Pelodiscus sinensis: one gene and its partner. The protein of the gene in region 1 purifies or fractionates together with the protein of each later gene. This does not show direct contact. Links are inferred from orthologs where the notes say so. Each region holds a gene or a part of one and is shown on either strand. Other genes may lie near its edges.

What was found.
Region 2: the proteins of ZYX (region 1) and ENAH purify together in Homo sapiens (co-immunoprecipitation; 4 studies listed by BioGRID and IntAct, counting the BioPlex papers as one, with this or other methods). This does not show direct contact. The link is inferred for Pelodiscus sinensis from reciprocal best matches to the Homo sapiens genes ZYX and ENAH.

Annotation. Positions count from the first base shown.
Region 1 is NC_134711.1:137,758,749-137,768,697, forward strand, and holds the start of ZYX (zyxin), read left to right. Parts: upstream 1-6,076; 5' UTR 6,077-6,200; intron 6,201-6,375; exon of another isoform or gene 6,376-6,511; intron 6,512-6,663; exon of another isoform or gene 6,664-6,830; intron 6,831-6,915; exon of another isoform or gene 6,916-7,068; intron 7,069-7,858; exon of another isoform or gene 7,859-7,952; intron 7,953-9,949. UniProt on the Homo sapiens protein: Adhesion plaque protein. Binds alpha-actinin and the CRP protein. Important for targeting TES and ENA/VASP family members to focal adhesions and for the formation of actin-rich structures.
Region 2 is NC_134713.1:156,791,246-156,801,734, reverse strand, and holds the start of ENAH (protein enabled homolog), read left to right. Parts: upstream 1-6,011; 5' UTR 6,012-6,026; coding exon 6,027-6,070; intron 6,071-10,489. UniProt on the Homo sapiens protein: Ena/VASP proteins are actin-associated proteins involved in a range of processes dependent on cytoskeleton remodeling and cell polarity such as axon guidance and lamellipodial and filopodial dynamics in migrating cells.

The DNA of each region.
Region 1 (9,949 bases):
CTTCATCCAGGTCATTAATGAAGACTTTGAACAAAATCAGACCCAGGATTAGGTACTCCACCTAATACCGGCTGCCAACTAGACATTGAGCTGTTAATTACTACTCCCCATTGAGGCCAATGATTTAGTCAGCTTTCTGTCCATCTTACAGTCCATTCATCCAAAGCTCACTTCTTTAATTTGCTTGTAAGAATACTATGGGACCTCATATCAAAAGCTTTGCTGGAGTTAAGGTATATCACATTCACAGCTTTCCCCATATTCACAGAGTCTCATCACAGAAGGCAATTAGGTTGGTCGGGCATCACTTGCCCTTGGTGAATCCACGTTGACTGTTCCTGATCACTTTCCTTTCTTCCAATGTTTCAAAATGGATTCCTTGAGTACCTTTGCCATGATTTTTTCAGGGACTGAGGTGAGGCTGACTGCCCGTCTGTAGTTCTCCAGATTCTCGTACTTTCCTTTTTTAAAGATGGGCACTTCTGTGCCTTTTCCCAATCACCCAGGAAATTCCACTGACTACTCAATTAGCTGATTAATTGAAATTTAACATTCCTAGTTGGAGCTGGGAAGAGCTCCAGCCATTGGAGCAGCCCCTCGACTGCATGGCCACGGCCTCCTGAGCAGGCTCCCAGCTGGCCCCTTGAGCAAGCCCCTGGCCAGCCCCTCAGGCAGGCCCCCAGTCTCCTGTACCTGCCCCCACTGCCATGTTGCATGTCCCAGCATCCCGCTGGAGCTGGCCCCAGCCAGCCACTGAAGTGGCCCCTCCACCATGCTGCCTCAGCTGGTCCCACAAGCCGGAGCAGCTGCCTGCCATGCCACTCACTTTCCAGCAGGAAGGTGAGTGCTGCTGCATGGCTCTGTAAATGAGGTGGGCAGGAGAAGAGAAGTTTGTGTGCGGCCGCGCAGGCACGCAGCTTTGCCGGAACAATGGCCATCACGATCCTGAAGTAGCATTAATGGCCCTCACCTAGCATGACTACTTTGATAACACCAGTTTATGCTCCATATTTCAGTATATTACAAGCTTTCCAATGATACCTTCCAATACATGATACCTTACACAAGGCATTTTGCATAAAGCATTTTCAGTTATGTCATATTCATAAGCATTCCTATTCTTCATGAAGCTTATCAGAACACCCCTCCCCCCCCCAGTTCCCAGCCCCAGCACTGGACAGCCAGGAGGCAAGGCCCCAGTACTCTGGGCTGCTGGATAGCATAGGGCTGCTGGATGGGGCAGCATGGTCTGAGCACCACCTGTAGAGGGTGGCCCCAACACTAGCTGCCCTGAGTTTCTGTGTGAGACAGGCCTGTCATCCCCAGCCAGGGCAGAGCACTGGCACAAGGGAACCCGGCCTGGGAGTGCAGTGTGGGTGGGGCCACATTTGGCTGTTTGGGGAGACACAGCCTCCCCCTGCCTACAATACATGCTGCCAGTAGTCCTCAGTCTCAAAGGAAATTTACACAACACTTTCAAAAGATGAGTTTGGAAGCTTACATTCATAACTTTGCTAGACACTAAATATCATGAACTGAATAGAGGCACATATCTTATTATAATAATCTGAAACCCTCCTTCCACTTCCTTTCCTCCCTCTGACTGGAGAGATGTTAATAGACCACTTCACCTTGAATGGTCCCTTGAAATATATGTCAAAACTACTTATGCCAAGTGATCTATTCAATCATATATTTAGCAATGACACCTGGAGTTTCTCAGACCTGAAAAAGAGTTCTGTGTAAGCTCCAAAGCTTGTCTTTCTTACTAATGGAAGTTGATCCGATAAAAGTTATTACCTCACCCACTTTGTTTCTCTAATATCCAGGACCAACATGGCTACAAAAACATCGCAAACAAAAATGGCATAGGACATTCAACATGGCATAGAAACATATCTTACTGCAATGTACACTGCACAGATGTAATTCATAAAGGCAAAATGGCTAATTTAAAAATAAGATAAGAGACTCCAAAACCCAGTAATGATTGGCGTTGTCTATATTCTGAACAAAGGGAAATCTCAACTATGCCTGTAGTTGCTTCTATAACTTCACAGGGACTCAATAAACATTTTAGGCTCAACATTCCTGGAATCGTATTACAGGCAGTCCCCGACTTACGCGGATCCGACTTATGTCGGATCCGCACTTACGAACGGGGCTTTTCTCGCCCCGGAGCTCGCGGGCGGCGGGACCACCCAGAGCGCAGCCGTCCCGCCACCAGGGCGAGAAAAGCTGCTCCGGGTCTCCCTGGTGTACTGGGGGGGACTCCCCAGCATAGCAGGGAGACCCGAGCAAAGCCGCAGAGGCGGCGGGGTCCCCCGCCTCTGTGGCTTTGCTCCTGTCTCCCTGCTGTGCTGGGGCGGGGGGAAGAGTCCCCCAGCACAGCAGGGAGACAGGAGCAAAGCCGCAGAGGTGGCGTGACCTCTGCGCCTCCGCGGCTTTGCTCGGGTCTCCCTGGTCTGCTGGAGGCGAGGGGGCGCAGCTAGTGCACCCCCCCCCCAGCAGACCAGGCTTTTGTTGCGGGATGCCTGGGGTAGAGCAGCTGGGGTGCTGCCGGGTTGGTCCTGCGGGGACCTACCCGGCAGTGCCCCAGCTGTTCTGTCCCAGGAGTCCAGATTCAGCCGCTGTTGAAACTGATCAGCGGCTAATTCCAGGAAGCAGGGGGCAGAGCAACTCTGCCTAGGGCTTCCTGTAGTCAGCCGCTGATCAGTTTCAGCAGCGGCTGAACCTGGAGCCAGTTCCGACTTACATACAAATTCAACTTAAGAACAAACCTACAGTCCCTATCTTGTACGTAACCCGGGGACTGCCTGTATACAGATTACTTATATCCCAGTACGGGGTTGAGAACCAAGAGATTATGGCCCCATTGTGCTAAGTATGGTACATAGTCCAAGGCAGTCCTCCTGGCCCCGAAGAGCTGAGTCTAAGCATAAGAGATAAAGGGTGGAAGACAAAAGGAAAGTATTATGCTTAAAATCGGTTACCAGCAAAGCCAGTAATAGAATTCATATTTCCCGAGCCTTTGGCCAGTGCCCTATTGTACCGACTACTAGACCACACTAAGGTCTATGCTTTTGCAGTCAGAGCAGCTGGGGCTGGAACTCTGTTGCCATAGCTAGGTCTGTCTAGTGCCAACCCAAGTAGCTGACAGGAAATCTCTGAAACAATTATGTGTTTCATGAGACCCTTTTGTAATGGCTTTTGTTAGAAACTACCACAGCCCAAGACTGTCTCAGCAGGGTGGACTGTTTTCTCAGAGTCCAGACTGATGCCAGTGTGTGGTGCTTTCCCAGGCCCAGTGACATAAGCCTGCAGATGGTTGGTGAAGTGGACAGATTCTCTAAATTGGTGTGCTTTTCCTTTTGGGGCACTGTGTTTAAGAGGGAATAGTGTGTGTAAGGATGTGGCCTGACCACAATACCCCAACATGAAGCACAGATTGTCCATCCATACTAGATATAAGAGTGTTAGGAGATCTAAGTTGAAACTTTTGGTATCATAGGTATGATCCAAATAATGCAAAAGCCATGTGATGTTCCAGCACAGCACGACTCCAGTTCATACATCCTACAAAATCATGTGGTACATGAAGGCTACGTCTACACTGGCCCCTTTTCCGAAAGGGGCATGCTAATTTTCAATTTCAGAATAGGGAAATCCGCGGGGGATTTAAATATCCCCCGCGGGATTTAAATAAAGATGTCCGCTGCTTTTTTCCGGCTTGGGGAAAAGCCGGAAAAAAGCGTCTAGACTGGCCCGATCCTCCGGAATAAAGCCCTATTCCGGAGGATCTCTTATTCCTACTTTGAATAGGGCTTTATTCCGGAGGATCGGGCCAGTCTAGATGCTTTTTTCCGGCTTTTCCCCAAGCCGGAAAAAAGCGGCAGACATCTTTATTTAAATCCCGCGGGGGATATTTAAATCCCCCGCGGATTTCCCTATTCTGAAGTTGAAAATTAGCATGCCCCTTTCAGAAAAGGGGCCAGTGTAGACGTAGCCAAACTGTGTCTGGGGACAACCAGATTGTAACTGGGATTCCTGACATGTCTGCATTTATTGCATCATAACAACAAAATTCAATCACTTGCATATGAAATAAGTCAATATGGTTAGTCCCATTTCACAGACAGGAAAATTGAGGCATACAGAAGTGTAGCGATTTGCTCAAGGCTCCATAACGTTTCACAAGAGATCTCTCTATATAAAAAACACGTTTCCTGAAGGATAACAGAGCAACATCAGCACATCACTCTGCATCCTGCCGCCCGGAGTCCTTCCTACCTCCCTGACTCCCTGGTGTTCTGGGGGACAGGCAGGAATCACACGGCCTCCCCAGTACTGGGGCAAGCAACCATGCAGCCTCCTCAGTGCTCCAAGGGGGGGGGGGGAGTGGAGCAGGAGCCATGTGGCCTCCCCAGTGCTCCGGGGGGCAGGGCCGGAGCCATGTGGCTTCCTCAGTCCTGGGGGGAGGGTAGGGGGGTGGGGCGGGGCAGGGCAGAAGCCCTGTAGCCTCCTCTCTTCCTGGTGTTCCTAGGATGGGCAGGAGCTGCATGGCCTCGCCCCCCTACCTGGTGTTCAGGGGGGCAAGAGCCCCACAGCCTCTTCCCTCCCTCCCCCCAGGGACCAGGGGAGCACCAGTGAACAAGAGAGAGCTGCACGGCCTCCCCCCTCACAGGTGTTCTGGGAAGGCGGAGGAGGTTGGTGAGCGTAGAAAGCAGGAGGGGTCCTAGTATACAATTAAGGGTTTGTTTCTTCTAGGGTTTCCAGATTCAGATGTAGCTACATCAACATAGCTGCATCAGTACAGATCTCTAGTTCAACTTCAGACACACTGTATCAGCATAAACTGGGATTTGAACTAGTGTCTCTCAGGTCAGACCAGCTTCACCAGTGCAAGCCCCATGTGATACTAGAGGCATGCTCTGTGGTAGTTACACCAATGTTGCTGCTAGATAAATACCTCAATGTAAAAAAATCCTAAATTCTCTGAGCATTGCAAAGATTAAATGACAAAGATTAATCCCTTGGAAATTTAGCAACAATAGGGGGCAGAAAGCCCAGTATTACTGCCAGATTTCAAGGAGAGAGCATGGTGTTTATGCAAAGAACAGGAATTCCCCCTTGGCTCCAGACTTGGAACAAATAAGCTTAGGGAGGCTGCCCTGCAAAAAAGGACCCAGGGAAAGAGAATAAAAGAAAACCAAAGATGGAGAATTTCAATAGTAAACTCCTTCGTGCAGGGACCAGACCCTCTGGGTGAGGTGCACCATTGAGCACTCACACCATCCATGTTCAGACTGAAAACAAAACCTAATAGATAATGCTGGAATGGTTTGGGAACAATGTGGATCTTGCAGGTCAGCAGTACAATGTGCAAAGCACAAGACTAGAATAGCCAGTGACATGGCTATCTAAGGATAAGGGGCATCAACAGAGCTGTGCCAGGACACTTGGGTCTGGAGGAGGCTGTGCCCAGGGAGCTAAGTGGGTTGTTCAGGTGCCCCCACCTCCTGTCTGGTTCTGAATACATGAGGAACTACATTCCTTGCAGTATTGCTGGTTTGTTTTTTAACAGCGTCTGTAGGATTGGAAAAGTCAGAGTCAGATGCTCTTGCAGCTGGTTGCTTGGGGAGGGGCTAGGGAAGGGGCCAGAGGGACCCTGCCTCCTGACTCACAAGAGCTGCCGGGCCTCTGCTTACGTGCAGTGGTTGAGACTGGAAATGAAGTCACTGGTGGGGGGTCACCAGGTTAAGGAATGGGGTGGAGGTTAAGCCTGGAAACACCAGTTGCTGAAAAAGTTGGGGAAGGCGGAGGCAACCCAGCGCTGGGGCAAGAGATAAAACACAAGCGTGCGGGGGCGCCTAACTGAGGGGCTTTGCCTAAGCTGAAGGGAAGACAGGAGTGGAGTGGAAGGGGCTGGGAATCAAGACTGAGCCGCAAGGCCGGCAAATCTCGGGGGAAATAGGGAATCCAGGAGTGGAAGGAAAGCAGGGAGGGTATGAAATACAGGCCTCCCATAGCAGCGATAGGAGGGAAAGCTGACACCTCCCTCCCCTCACAACACAGGGGGAAGGGCAACGAGAGCTGGTTGTAAGAGGGAGAGCGTTGCTGTTCTCCCCCACTCGTCTCTCAACAGTCCTGTCTAGTGTATTCATCCTCCTCCTCCTCTTACCTCATTGCCACATTCCCTGGTGAGTGAGCTCAGCTGTTCGCGCAGCCTCTCTCCTTTTATGGTCACACAGCTTTGCTTGGGCGAGGCCTTTTTGCGAGATGCTAGGAAGTCCTGGGCTCTGTAGTCCCCCCTCCTCCAAGTCCTTCCCCCTCCCGATTTGGCAGACAAGCAACCGAAGCTGGTTCTGATCGCTGTGCAGGGGGCAGAGCGCGGCACGCCCAGGCGCTGGGAGGGCAGAGTGGGGCTGGGCTTGCGTGCTAGCAGCACTAGAGACTTTACAGGCAGCTACAAACTTTTAGTCCAAGAGACCCAGCCTGCTCCTCCCCAGAGGTGAGTCCCCTCTCCTCCCGCTTCCTTTGGGCAAAAGTCCCGGCTGAAGCTCGTTGCCTCCTAGTTTTATTGCAACTTTATGCTCAAAAACTAACTGCGGTTTTTTGGCAGCAGGAAAGCTCCCCTCCCTCTAATTTCCTGCCCCACGTCCTGGGGCTGCGAGGCTGAACCTGCTCTTGTGTGCGCGGTCGGTGCTGGTGGCACAGCTTGGGCCGCTCTAGTTAGCGTTAACTTTATGGACTTGGCGTCTCTGTCTCCTTTTCCGGGGGAGCCTCATACTTTTGAAAGCCTGACTAAGTTGCCAACCCTGGGCTGGCGGGTAAGTGCCCCCAGCCGCCCCGTGGAAATGAAATACCTAAGAAATCGCCTCCTTCCCTTTGTAAAACTAGCAGCCCGCGGGGGCGGGGAGGGCGCGCTGCCGAGTCGAGACGCTGCAGTGTGAGTGAGACCCCTAGAGCCTTTTTCCAGATGTTTGGGTGGGGAAAGAATCCGAAACTTTTCGAGACTCCTTCATGTCTCCTCTGCCCTGCCGGGGAGGAGATCTGAGGAGACGGGAGGTGAGTGCCTGCAAATTTGTGACTGTCTGGCGCTTGCAATATGTCTGCATGTTTCTTTCTTGCCGTGCTGTGTAGCGAGGAACGGGGAGACGCGGGTGTGCAGTTATGTGACTGCTACAGATTCACTCCAGGCCTGGCTTTGAAAGTTCCCCTTTCCCCGGTCCAATCCCTGACTACAATTTACATGCCTGGAAATGAACTTTCTGGTGGGGAAGGGGAAGTAGGAGTCATTAGGCAAAGGAATGGGTGGGGGTGGGGTGGAGATTGAGTGGAGAAACACCAGTTGCTTGAAAAAGAAAGGACTTTGCTGTTGCAGGGACGCAGGGTGGGTTTTTTTGTTTGTTTGTGCGTGGTGTGTTTGTTTTTTTGCTATCCAAGCAAACTTTGCAGGATTAACCAGAGTTTGATGGGGTGGAAACACATGTGACTCTGTTTAACTGGGGGAAAAAAGAACACCCCCCCCCCAAAAAAAAACTGAAGTAAATCAGCTTCTTTCACTTCATATTTTAATAGCACATCCCCTTCATTTTTCATTTGGAGGAGGTGGGTGACTTCATGCCAGAGTTACTGGATTATGAAACAAAAGCCCCCTCCCACCCAAATACTGCCTGCTTGCTCTGAGCTGGGATCCTCCCTAGGGAAGGAATCATTTTGGAGAACATTGGGGTAGGTCCCTGCCTTTGCTTTCCATTCTCTGCTCCTGGGTGGGGTACAGTGAAGATTGGCCAGTGAAGTTCAGGTCCTGGGGTCACACACCTGAGACTGAGAATTGGTTGGTTCCCTTTCATAGAATCATAGAGCTGGAAGAGACTTCAGGAGGTCATAAAGTCCACCCCCCTACCCAAGCAAGGCAGGACCAATTCCAACTAAATCAACCCAGCCAGGTATGTCACCCAGTAAGTATGGCTTAGGTCAGGACTTACATCGAAAATAGAGCAATCTGTGATGGCCTTAAGAGATTGCTTTCATGTAACCAGTGCAGCTATAGCCAATGAAAGGCTCTAAATCTCAATTTCTGGCTTTGGTGCAACCTTCCTCTAGCCCAGGGCTACTCAACTTTGGATGCCCTGGGGGCCCCAATGGTACTCACAGCACATGCTGAGGAATGCAACTTAAGCATGGTTGCATATACATGCAAATATATATGCAAATAGCTTCTTTCCCAAAATGCCCCAGTGCTCCCTGCACCTCCTCCCTGGGGGCTAGAAACACTGACACCCTGTACCTGTCTGTTCCAGCCAGCCCATCCGTTTGCATCTTTCTATGCTTACCCCTCCTGGGAGACATCTCGCCACTATGGCGCGTGTTCCCAGTGGAAGGCATGTTAAAAGGATTCCAACCACCGGCTGTGTGTTGAGCCCCATGTAAACCCAAACCACAGTGCAGGCTACATGTTCAATAGCCCTGCTCTACAGCTGTGTGGAATCTTCTGATTATTGTAGATGTCAGAACATCTCTTCCTTTGTGGGAGGCTTGATAACTAAATCGGGCTCAGGCCTGCCTAAGTGGCATTCCCTCAGTAATTGTACACCATAGTAGAACTGTGGGGAGACCATAGAGGAGGTGGATCAGTCTAAAGGCATGCTAGGAAGGCTTCGATCCATGGCAGCTCCATACTCCCTTCCTTCTAATAGGGTGACTGGTGGACAAACAGAAGAGATGCCTTCCTGCTGCTTTTTAAGCAGAACTTGGGACAGGCAGGGGCAGCTGCAGGTGGAAAGCTGCTGTGAGGAGAAAGAAGCTTTGGCCTAGATAAATGTATGTGTATTGGAAGGAGGGGGAAGGAGGCTGCTCTGGGGTCAGGGAGATGGGAACAGCTGCTGGCAATGACCCTAACGTATCTGCATGAAGCAGCTGATGTCCCATACTCCATCTCTCTAAAGACCAGCTCCATTATAAAGTGTGATCATGTGGAGACTAGGCTGTGATCTTCAAGTACCTACACAGGAAAAGATTCTAATGGCAGTTTCTTGAAACAAGCAGGTACAGGCATAAGAAGATTCAATGGCTAGTGATTAACTATTTGAACAGTTTACCAAGGGCATAGTGCGTTTGCTATCACTTAGTTTTTAAATGAAGACTGGATATCTTTCAAAATGACATGCTTTAGCTCCAACAGAAGCAGGATCACTGTGTGAGGGAGGATGGTCTGTTATGCAGGTCACAATAATAAGGCCATTTTTTGGCTTAAAATTTGGTAACCTGCTCTTCAGCATCCTTATGGACTGACCTGGGGAAGGGGGGAAGCATCTTGTGGTCTATGCTGATGACCCTTCTTCCCTAACCTGCCCTTCAGTTGGATATGAGAGAGTTCTCTGGGGCTATGGTAGGGGAGGGTGGGTGAGGATTATTTCAACACGCACAGCCCTGCAGGGATATGCAGAAATGATCAGCAAATATAAAGTAGTTAATTTGCAGGGCTCTAGATACAAAATGTGTACCAGCATCCATATCTGCAAAAATGATCTGCAGCTACCCCTATCCATGAATGCAGATATCTGTGAATTTGTAGGGATCTACCAAAATAACAACTAAGGCAAATTATCTTGATCTCACAGGTACTTTACAACTTGGAGAACTTGTTTGTGGCCCTAGTGATAGCAGTACTGTGGAATAACTGTCACAGGGCTGTTTGCTCTAACCACTCCAGTGAGGCAGCCCATCCTCATCCATGCTGACTGTGCAGAGGCAGGCACTGTAGAAGAATGTTGTTCAAAACAAACTAACTCTGCATGCTGGCATACTTACCCTGTGTGCCATGGGAGCATTATTGTGTGTGGTCAGCATGACAAGCTGCTTAGTGCAGGCAAGCGCTCTGGGCTGGGTACCAGCATAGGGGAAAATCTCAGCAATGTGGGCTCTTATCAGGAGATGGCCAATA
Region 2 (10,489 bases), on another chromosome or scaffold:
GACAGAAATTGGCTGAACAAAAATTGATTGAAGTTCTGTGTAACATGTTTTTGATCCAGTGGGAGAATTAAAAGCAAAATATAAATCTGTTTTTAGTACGGACATGTGGTTACTGAAAGATGTAACAGCAAATGTTCATGTGGTTGAAATAATATTCCTATTTTTTTTCTAAAATCACGTCCTGTACCTTATGCTCATGGGAACATAGAAAGGTAATTAGAAGAATTGCAAAAGCACAGAGTAATTTAACTTTGTAGAGCTAATTTAGTAGACTGCCCTGATTGTATACATGCCTAAAAATTAAGGGCCCAATTCAACAACTTTACTTATATGGCATGTGGGACTAAGTATCTTGGGGTATGTCTACACTACCCCGCTAGTACGAACTAGCGGGGTAATGTAGGCATACCGCACTTGCAAATGAAGCCCGGGATTTGAATTTCCCGGGCTTCATTTGCATAAACTGGGCGCCGCCATTTTTAAATCCCTGCTCGTTCGAACCCCGTGCCGCGCGGCTACACGCGGCACGAACTAGGTAGTTCGGACTAGGTTTCCTAGTCCGAACTACCGTTACTCCTCGTGGAATGAGGAGTAACGGTAGTTCGGACTAGGAAGCCTAGTCCGAACTACCTAGTTCGTGTCACGTGTAGCCGCGCGGCACGGGGTTCGAACGAGCAGGGATTTAAAAATGGCGGCGCCCAGTTTATGCAAATGAAGCCCGGGAAATTCAAATCCCGGGCTTCATTTGCAAGTGCGGTATGCCTACATTACCTTCCTAGTTCGAACTAGGAGGGTAGTGTAGACATACCCTTGTGGAGTAAGGGATTACTTGTTTTAAGAAAAGGTAGATGAATCAAGATCTAAGTGGATACAGTGAGGATAGAATTGTGCATAGTGACTAGGATTCCAACTTTGGATATATAATTTGATGAAATTTCCAAGAATATCTTTAATTAAAGATTAATCTTTAGTTGCTTGAGACTTCAGGTCTTCACAGGTTGGCAACCCCAATAGTGACATGTGTAATACTAGTGATATATGCAAGACTTTGCAGATTTCATTGAACCAGTCTAAGGGGGCTTGCAAAGTAATTTGGTTGCCACCGAGGGGACTCATAGGGGAAGACTAACTAAATGTAATTTATTCCCCTCCATTTTTCCTAAGACCTTATGTCAGCTGGGATATGAAAAAAACAAACAAACAAAAAAACCCAATTCTATGGATTTCAGGGGATAGGGAATTGAAATTATTCTGATTCTTAGTTGTGGATGAGCTAAGCTTGATTGCACCTCAGAAGAAATGGAAGAGATCCCAAGATTGCTCTAGTCATTGTCTGAGGGCTGTTCTAATTTACATTGAACTGTAATGATTCTACAACAGGTATTGGCTCAATTGAGAATAGCTAAATGCTCCCCCTGACTCATGACCCTGCCGTGCCTCTAACTTGGGTTTTTTTGCCAGAGGAGATACATCCGGCTAGAGAGCTCTATATTATCCCGGAACGTACCAGATTACTGATTCACTTATCTTATTGGTGCTTTGCTTTAGCAAAGATGTCATAAAGAGGCCACAGAGGAAAAGTGGGCTTAATGTATCCAGAACCCACCAAAAAAAATTCATCAGTATTCAGGGGTACATTCTGTGGATGCATACTGCACATTCATAAGGACCAATGGAATAATGAATTATAATGTGTGTGTGTGTGTAAGAAAAATTGGAACATGGATCATTTGTATTGCAGGGCACGTGTACAAGGGAATAACCACAGGAATCATAGAATACTAGAACTTGAAGGGACCTGGAGAGGTCATCAAGTCCAGGCTCCTGCCCTCACTGCAGGACCAAGCACCGTCTAGATTATCTCTAATAGATGTCCGTCCCAACCTTCTCTTAAATATGGAGATTCTACAACCTCCTGAGGCAATTTATTCCATTGCTTAACCAACCTGACAGTTAGGAACAACTTCCTAATGTCCAACTTAAACCTCCCTTGCTGCAATTTAAGACCATTGCTTCTTGTCCTATCATCAGAGGTCAATGAGAACATATTTTTTTCCTCCTTGTAACACCCTTTTAGGTACTTGAAAACTTCTATCGTGTCCCCTCTGTTTTCTATTTTCCAAACTAAACAAACCTAATTCTTTCAGTCTTCCCTCATACATCATATTTTCCAGACCTTTAACATTTTTATTGCTCTTTTCTGGATCCGCTCCAATTTTTCCACATCTTTCTTCAAATGTGGTGCCCAGAACTTGACACAATACTCCAAATGAGGCCTAACCAGTGCAGAGTACAGTGGAATAATTATGTCTCAGGTCTTTCTCACAACAACCCGGTTAATGCATCTCAGAATCAGGTTTGCTTTTTTGCAACAGTGTCATGCTGTTGACTTATAATTAGCTTGTGGTCCATTATGACTGGTGAGCCCTTTCTCCAGTACTCCTCCTTAGACAGTCACTTCCCAGTCTGTATGTGTGAAACTGATTGTGCCTTCCTAAGTGGAGTAGTTTTCATTTGTCCTTATTAAACTTCATCCTATTTACCTCTGACCATTTCTCTGGTTTGTTCAGATCATTTTGAATCATGACCCTATCCTGCAAAGCACTTGCAACCTCTCCCAGCTTGGTATCATCTGCAATCAGTGCATGGAATACAAACATGTAGAAAAACCACTGCACTGCTCATCAATAATGAATGCAGTGCTGTGTACAGGAGACTGTAACATTCAACAGTTTATGCAATGCCGTTGTGCAGAGATATCACCTGGGGTTTGAACAATAAGTAGACAGGCTAAATAATCCCCTACAATATCTGAACTTATGTTTGGTAGAGAAACCACTGGAGGGTCCATTACTGTATGCATTGCTTCTATGCACAGGAACCCCAGCCCTGCACAAGTGTGCAGAGGGGCCACCACTCCCCGCCAGGGGTCGCCAAAGCCTAGTAACCCCGGTTCATTTCTCCCACAATTGCTGCTCATTCCCTGCTCCTCCCCACTTCAGAATCCACACGGAATGCAGACCAGTAGTGGGCGTGGCCCCGCCGCTCCGCCCACCGCGTCCCCTGCGTGCGGCCGTGCCCCCCACCCTCTCAAGCAAACCGGTGTCTCGAGACGCCCGCGCTCTGGTGCAGGCGCTCCCGCCCCTTCCCCCCTACTCCGGGAGTTGGTTTGTTCCTCTTCGTTCCCCTCACCCCCCGCTGTGGTCGGGTCTGGCCCGACCCGGCGGCTGAACGGAGAACTCGCTCGCACTCAGGGACTTCGCTGCCCATTGAAGGACCGGCTCGAGAGGAAGGGGGAGAGCGGCTCCCCGACGCGGGCAGCACCATGAGGTGAGGGGCCTCCGCACCGCGGTGTTCGCATGGGGGGCGCTGTGGGGGTCTCCGGTGGGAGGAGGGCCCGGCGGGGGGGCCTAGGCGGAGGTAGCCGGGGAAAGCGCGCGGGTCTGTGGGGAAGGGGGGGGCGTTGTTCGAGGGGCGGGTTCTCTGCCGCCTGCGCCGTTGGCTTGTTGCTCTGTGGAAGCGCCCTGGGGGCCGTTGTGCGGGCGCCGGGCGGGGAGGGCTGGCTCCGGCTCCGCGGGGATAATGGCCAGCCCGCCCGGCGCCTTGGGGAGCCAGCGGGCCGGGCGCGGCTGCCCGTACATGGCGTGAGAGCCCCTGTGATTTGGGCGGCGCGTGGGGCCAGCTTGTGAGCTCCTGGCGCGTCTTTTTTTTTGCGGGGCTGGAGGCTGCTCGCGATCCCGTGTCCAAGGCGGGGAGGGAGAAGCGCTGCCCTTCTATCGGTGTGTGTTGCATTGCAGCAGCAGCTGGGTTTTTCCCTGTGTAATCAATAGAGGCAACCCTCCATCCCCCCGCCCCTCCCGGCAGCGGGGAACACATTGTTCTTGGGGCGTGTTAGTCCCGATGCAAACCTCGAGCCGCACGTTGCTAATTCCTTTCGGGGGGGGAGTCTTTGTCCATTTGTCTGAGACTGAGCCTTTATGTGATCGTATTTGCTTGGCGACTATTTTTCCACCCGCTCCAGCCGTTTCGTGCCTGTTCAGTATCCATAAGCTCTCTCTGAATTGGTGCAAGACTTCGTGAGAAATGTGACTTTGTAGACTGAATGGTGATGTATTTGGAGACGCATTACTATGATCCACATAGGCCTGCCCATTAGGTTAAACAGTTGTCTGTGTGTGTGTCGGGGGGTGGGGGACTGTAAATTACCTAAGATATTGTCTGTCTTTGTAGTTAGACTTGAATCTTCTTTGTGTTAAAGATTAATGGCCAGCAGTTGCCACGTCCTTTAGAACGCACCAGTAAGCTTTACGTGATATAATCTACACATTCCTTTGCTGTGACAGTGTCAAGTCTAGGAATTCTTCACAAATGTGAGACGTTTCTATTTTAAAGTTTTTATTTAGTTTTTTTAGGGTTTTTTCCCCCAAGGGCAAATGTTAACCATGGAGCCTTGGCATATGAAGAACTGGGTTCTCTTCTCTCTCTCCCCTCCTCCCCATGCATTCTGTTCCTGGGATGGCTTTATTTTATTTTGTTTGTAGTTACTTATGCATTAAATTTGCTTTTTAAAGCTATTTTGTAATATTAAATAACTTTTCTCTTATTCATACAGTGTTCTTTCACAGGGCTAGCTTCTCAACACTTTAAAACACTCAATTAATTCATAGTAATTGCATATTTTGTATATAGCACTTTCTACTGTTTTGATAATTTAAAAAGTTTAATTTTTATATCTTATTTGCATATTTTAGAGGTGAATTTGTAGTTTTGAGGCAATCATTTTACTTAAGCTATGTCTCTGGTTCAAAAAAAGTTTGTTGGTACAGTTGTATCAACTAGCCCTCCTAATGTAGGTGCAGTTTATACTAGCAAACATACCTCTTTTGCCATTATAGCATGTACTGATTCAATGCATGAAATAAGCTATTCTGGCAAAAGAGACTTTTGTGTTCTAGCAAAAACACTTTTATGCATGTATAAATGTATGCACATTAAGAGTTTTTGCTGGTTTAAGTTTTGCCAGAGTTCCAGCATTACCAACAAAAGTTTAATGTAGACCTCCCCTTAATCTGTCTAATATTAAATGTTTGTATAGTATAGTGAACTTTAAACTGTATACTTGTACGCACGGGGCCTAAGCATAAGCAAAACATCTCATAAATCTATGTCTCTTCAAATTCTAAGTAGCAACTGTTTTTAAAAGGAAATTGTCTGGAGTTAAATGTTCATTATGAATGCTTGCTGATTTAAGGAAACCTCAAGAATTCTTCAGGAATTGCATAAATCTAAGCCTTGCCCAACCATGCAAATTGTATAGTTGTAACTAAATTGGTTTATTAACAAGCTAAATCAGCAAGTTCCCCTTGTGTTGGACAGTGTTAAATAGAATCAATTTCTCAATCTCTTTAGTTAACTAAGTACAATATGTGTAGCCAAAGCTTCAGTGAACATATTCTCTTAGGGCTTGTGTAAGTCAGCATAAAAGGTTGTATTTTTAAAATATGTTCTTTGAAAGGCATTAGTTAATTGGTCTTTACACAGTCTTACAGACAAGCAAGTTTGTATCTTTTCTGGTCAAGGTAAACCCTTTGAATGGGGGGCCAGGAAGAATCAATGCTTGCAATGTGACAAATGTGCTATTTGTCAAATAGCTAACAAGTTTTGGAAGTTTGCCTGTGTTAAAAATTTTTTTGCTAACACCTTTTAAAATATCTTCTCTAGTCTAGACAGATATTTAGTTATTAATTATCATAAATTAGGTGTAGTTCTGAGAGAGGTTCTTCCACTTACAGCTTAATTTATAATAAACAGAGATAATGTATACAATTGACACACTGCCTACTTGTTTTTCCCTTTGATATTTTCATACCCTCTGCCCCTTGTTTTCCACCCCCTTCCTTTTTTTTCCTTCCCCTTCTCCCCTATTTTTTTGGGGTCTGCACATCCTAAACTCAAAACTCCCGTCATCTGAAGAAGTGGGCTATACCACGAAAGCTCATAATACTATCTACATGTTTTGTTAGTCTATGAAGTGCTACCAGACCATTTGTTGTTTGATTAAAAAAAATAGGTGAGTATAATCTTTTCAGTGTACTCTTGTACAGAAAATTGCTCTGAACTATAACTTCATTTTACATGCTTGCGCTCTCAGGCGTGGGATAAGGGAGTATACAGCCAAGTGGTCAGAAAATTCTTTCCCTGCCATCCGAATTCTGAAGTAATGCTGGTCTGACTGATGAATGGCTGCTCCAATATTTGGAGTAGCTAGGTGGTTGAAAGTTAACAAATAGTTTCCCAGTTTTTACTTTATCAAATACAGCTTGCTGTCACCTGAATTCTAAAATCTGTGCAATGTAATAGGGCGCACATGACGATATGTATTTAAATATCAACAGTTGTTTGTAGATGCTTGAAAATTATAGAAGAGATATTTAGATCTTAGCTATTGAACACAGGATTTAAATTCTAAATCTTGAATTACACAGGAGTATAGACAAGTTTCTGTATAAAGTTTTGTTTCAGAAGTCCAACTCTTCAGTAAACTATTTTTTAAGGGTGAATAGGTAAACAGTTGATTTTTGCATGTCTGCTCTTTTTGCATTGTAACTGACAGAGTACGTGGTGTTCTGAATCGAGTGTTACGTGAATGGACTAATCTCATAATAGGTGTCCAGAAATAGTTAGATGTGACTAGGGATTCCATTGGCAATTGGAATACTAAAAACAGTGGCTGTTAATATCTGTATCTTAGGGGTTGATAAGTCTGAGCGGCCGTGTTAGTCTTAAGCTTTAAAATGAGTAATCCTGTGACACCTTTCTTAGAGATTAACAAAAAAATATAGAATCATGCATAAAACCTACTTCACGAGATGAGTTTTCCATTCCAACTCATTCGATAAAGTGCATTTTACCCACGAAAGTCATGATTCTATATATTTTTGTTAGTCTCCAAGGTGCCACAGGACTACTCATTTTTAGGGGTTAATGACTGACATCTTTGTACAATTAATCCAGAAAATATTCAAAATTTCAGTGTTTAATGATATTTTCTTTGTTTACAAATGTCTGGGTCTGATATCCCTCTTTATAGGTTATTCAGTTTTAATAGCATTTGAATTTCTAAATAGGAAAAGTAGCTGATCTGATTTTTTTTTCTAATGTCTATTTCTTAGTAAGTGATATGGTTTCCTCGTTCCCAATTTAATCTTTATTTTGATTTTAGATTTCTTTAAAACTACCTTCTGAAAATTTCTACTTTGAGTAAATATATATGATTTCTTTCTAACTAAGTAGTCATCAAAAATCAGTGAATCAGACTTTGGGTCTGGGCAGATAAGTTTTTCTTGGCATTTTAAAGGCTGGATTAAGATTCACTACTTTATTAATGAAATGGTAAGAGAACCTAGTTCCAAGCCTGTGGTAGCAAAGCTAGCTAGCTTAATTGGGATAAAGAATTCTTGGGGAATCTCAGTTGTCCTACAGTTCCTTAATGTTCAGTTATGCCTAGAAGTGACACTACTCACGACAGTAATAAAGTTAGGGTAATCTAAATTGTTTATTATTGTCAAGCTGAAGGAGCCAGTTATTCAGGAATGAGAGAATAATAAGGGTTTTGCAGCGTGCTTTGCTGTATGGGGTAGAATTTCAGAATTGGGCTTTTGTTGTAGTTTTTACTACCTGCATGACACATGACATATTTGGAATGGAAAATGAGATATGGTTTTGAAATATTTGACAAAATATTTAAAGTGAAGAGCAGTCAGTTAAATCTAGCGATATTGCTGTACATGTTCCTGATCACTAAATTGCTCATTTCTCTAGAGTAAAATTGGAAGTGTAGGCAGATTTTTCAGGTGGGCACAAGAATTCAGTTCAGGTTACTCTCCTTGCTCTAAGTAGACTGAGGCTGTGTCTTCACAACGAGCTTGGGGTGTGATTGCCAGCTTGTGTACACACATCATGAAAGCCAGTACAAGTGTAAATAACAGTGTTGCTGCAGTAGCAGAAGTATCATACCGAGTATAAACCCGCTTGAACCCTGTGGGTACATGCTTGGTGTGGCTTACACTACTATTTATATTTGTGCTAGTTCTCATCAAGCTAGCACAGGTATATGTGCGTGAGAGATGGGGAATTGCATCTCTAGCTTATAGCATAGATGTAGTTTAACAGTCATTTGTCTGATGCTATTGCAGACTTTGTTAGCTAGTGCTTCATTTGTGACAGTTGCAATAGTTCTTGCACTTTTTTTCTTTGTCTTATATGGAATCTGACAACTACTTTCCTCAAAGTCTCTGGATAGTCTATGAATTATTTTGATAGTAGGTTTATAAGACTTTATTTCACAAGAATAAGTAAATGAAATGCACATCACCTAGAATTCCTATTCTTCATAGATGGTTGCTTGTAACATACTAAGATGGCCATATTGCAGAGCTCTAAAAATTACAAATGACTTGGGGGTGGTGGGGTCCAGGAAGGTGATTTATAATTCAGCATTAGCCTGGAAGCATGCATACATGCAAGCTGCTTCCTCCTGATTCTGATGAAAGACTGTATTTTTAAGCAAGTCAAATTTAGCTGATACTGCTCTTCTCTCTTCCACTTTGAACTGTAGGGCATGAAGAACTGTATAGTCCTTTTTTAACCTCCCTCAGAATAGGAAGAAGCTATTCATTCAGCATACACACTCACTGGTCACCTACATGACACACGGAGATTTGGTCTACACTACAAAGTTAGGTCAACATAAGTTAATTTGTGTTGACCCTGTTGGTGCATAGTCAGATTTGTCTTTAGCTAACATAAGTACCCTGTTAAGGTGATGCAGTAAAACCATCTTTTTGAATGGCCTTGAGCCATAGTTGACCTACTGAAGTCAGGTCAAACAGTATCTACACTTGTACTGCACTATGTCAACCCTGGTGATTCTCCAACTGTCCCAAAATACCTGGCAGTTTCCGCTGGTTACAATTGTGAATTCCACTGTCCAGGGGTCTTAAAGTGGAAGCCACTCCCTCTTGTTTTTGGAAATGCATTTTCCTGATTGTCTACATTGGTGAACACACGTAGCAACTCTCCCTTGTTCAACTGCACAACAAACTCTGCTGGTTCCACTCACTAATTGTGTTGCTGCTAGGAGTAGGCTGGAGGTATTGGATTTTTTGGGTCTGTGGTGAGAACAAGCTTTGAAAGCACAGCTACAGACCAGCTGTTGAAGTTCACATTTACAAAAAGATTGAACGGGAGATGCAGGTGAAGAGGTATGACAGGGATCAGTAGCAGTGTCAGGTGAAAGTGAAGAAACTGTGTCAGACATACTGCAAGGTCAGAGAGGCCAACAATTGATGTGCTAAGTTGCAGATCTGGAATTCTTACCATGAGTTATATTCCATATTTGGCAAAGACCGTACCACCATCCTCAGACCCTGTGTATACCTTGAAGGAGCCTTAGACACAGACTCCTGCCAAGAAAAGTAAGGAAAAAGGTATTGGGGGAGATGTGTTGGGAAGAGTCCAGCTATGTCAGGACCTATTTGTGACTTTGACACAGTATAGCTAGTTCCTTAAGTAGAGCACAGATGAACCCAATGAAGTGGAAGGAACCATAGGTAGGTATGAGCACATATTTTCCCTCAGAGTTTAAAACAAGGGTGGGCAGTAATTTTTACAGGGGTGCCATTAATTAATTTTGGTACATGGTCATAGCCTGGCTCCTTCTCTTCCCCCATCCCATGGAAGGCGTGGGGTTGGGGACTAGCCTCCCCACAGAGTTGTTTGGGGCTGGAAACTTGGGATTAAAAACACAGCAAAGGGTTTGCACCTCCCAGCCTCACCAGTAACACATTGCCTGGCAGCTACCCAGGGTTAGTGTGGCTATTTAAAGGGTTGCTGGTTGTGATACTACCCCAGCAGGGGCTGGAGCCACAATCCTTTTAAATAGGCACAGCATTCCTGGGCGGCTGCCAGGCAATGAGGTAGTGGTGGGGTTAGGGATGTGAATGACTAATCAACTATTCGACAAGCAAATGCTTTTTGGATAGTCGATGCACTAGTTGCTCCCTTCCCTTGCTGCCTCTATCAGAAAGAGGCAGTTGGGGGAGGGGCAGGGGGAAGGAAGGGGCGCTTCAGAGCAGCACCACCATGTGGAGTCTGGGGCCAGACATGCCCTGGGCTCCACGCAGTGCTGCCACTTTGAAATGCTGCAGTTTGGGACCAGCTGGGGACTCCCCCACTGACCCTGGGCTCCATGTGGCACTGTGGCTTTGAAATGCCTCGGGGAGAATTGGGCCAGTGGGGAACTGCTTGAGCCCCTTGCTGGCCATGTGCTTCCCTCAGTGCTTTCACCTTTGAAGTGTAGCAACAGCCTGGGGCTGTTGCTACACTTCTAAGGCAAAGGTGCTCTTATTGACTATTGAATAGTCGATGCAAATTGCATTGACTATTTAATTAGTCAATTAATCTAAATTTAACATCCCTAGGTGGGGCA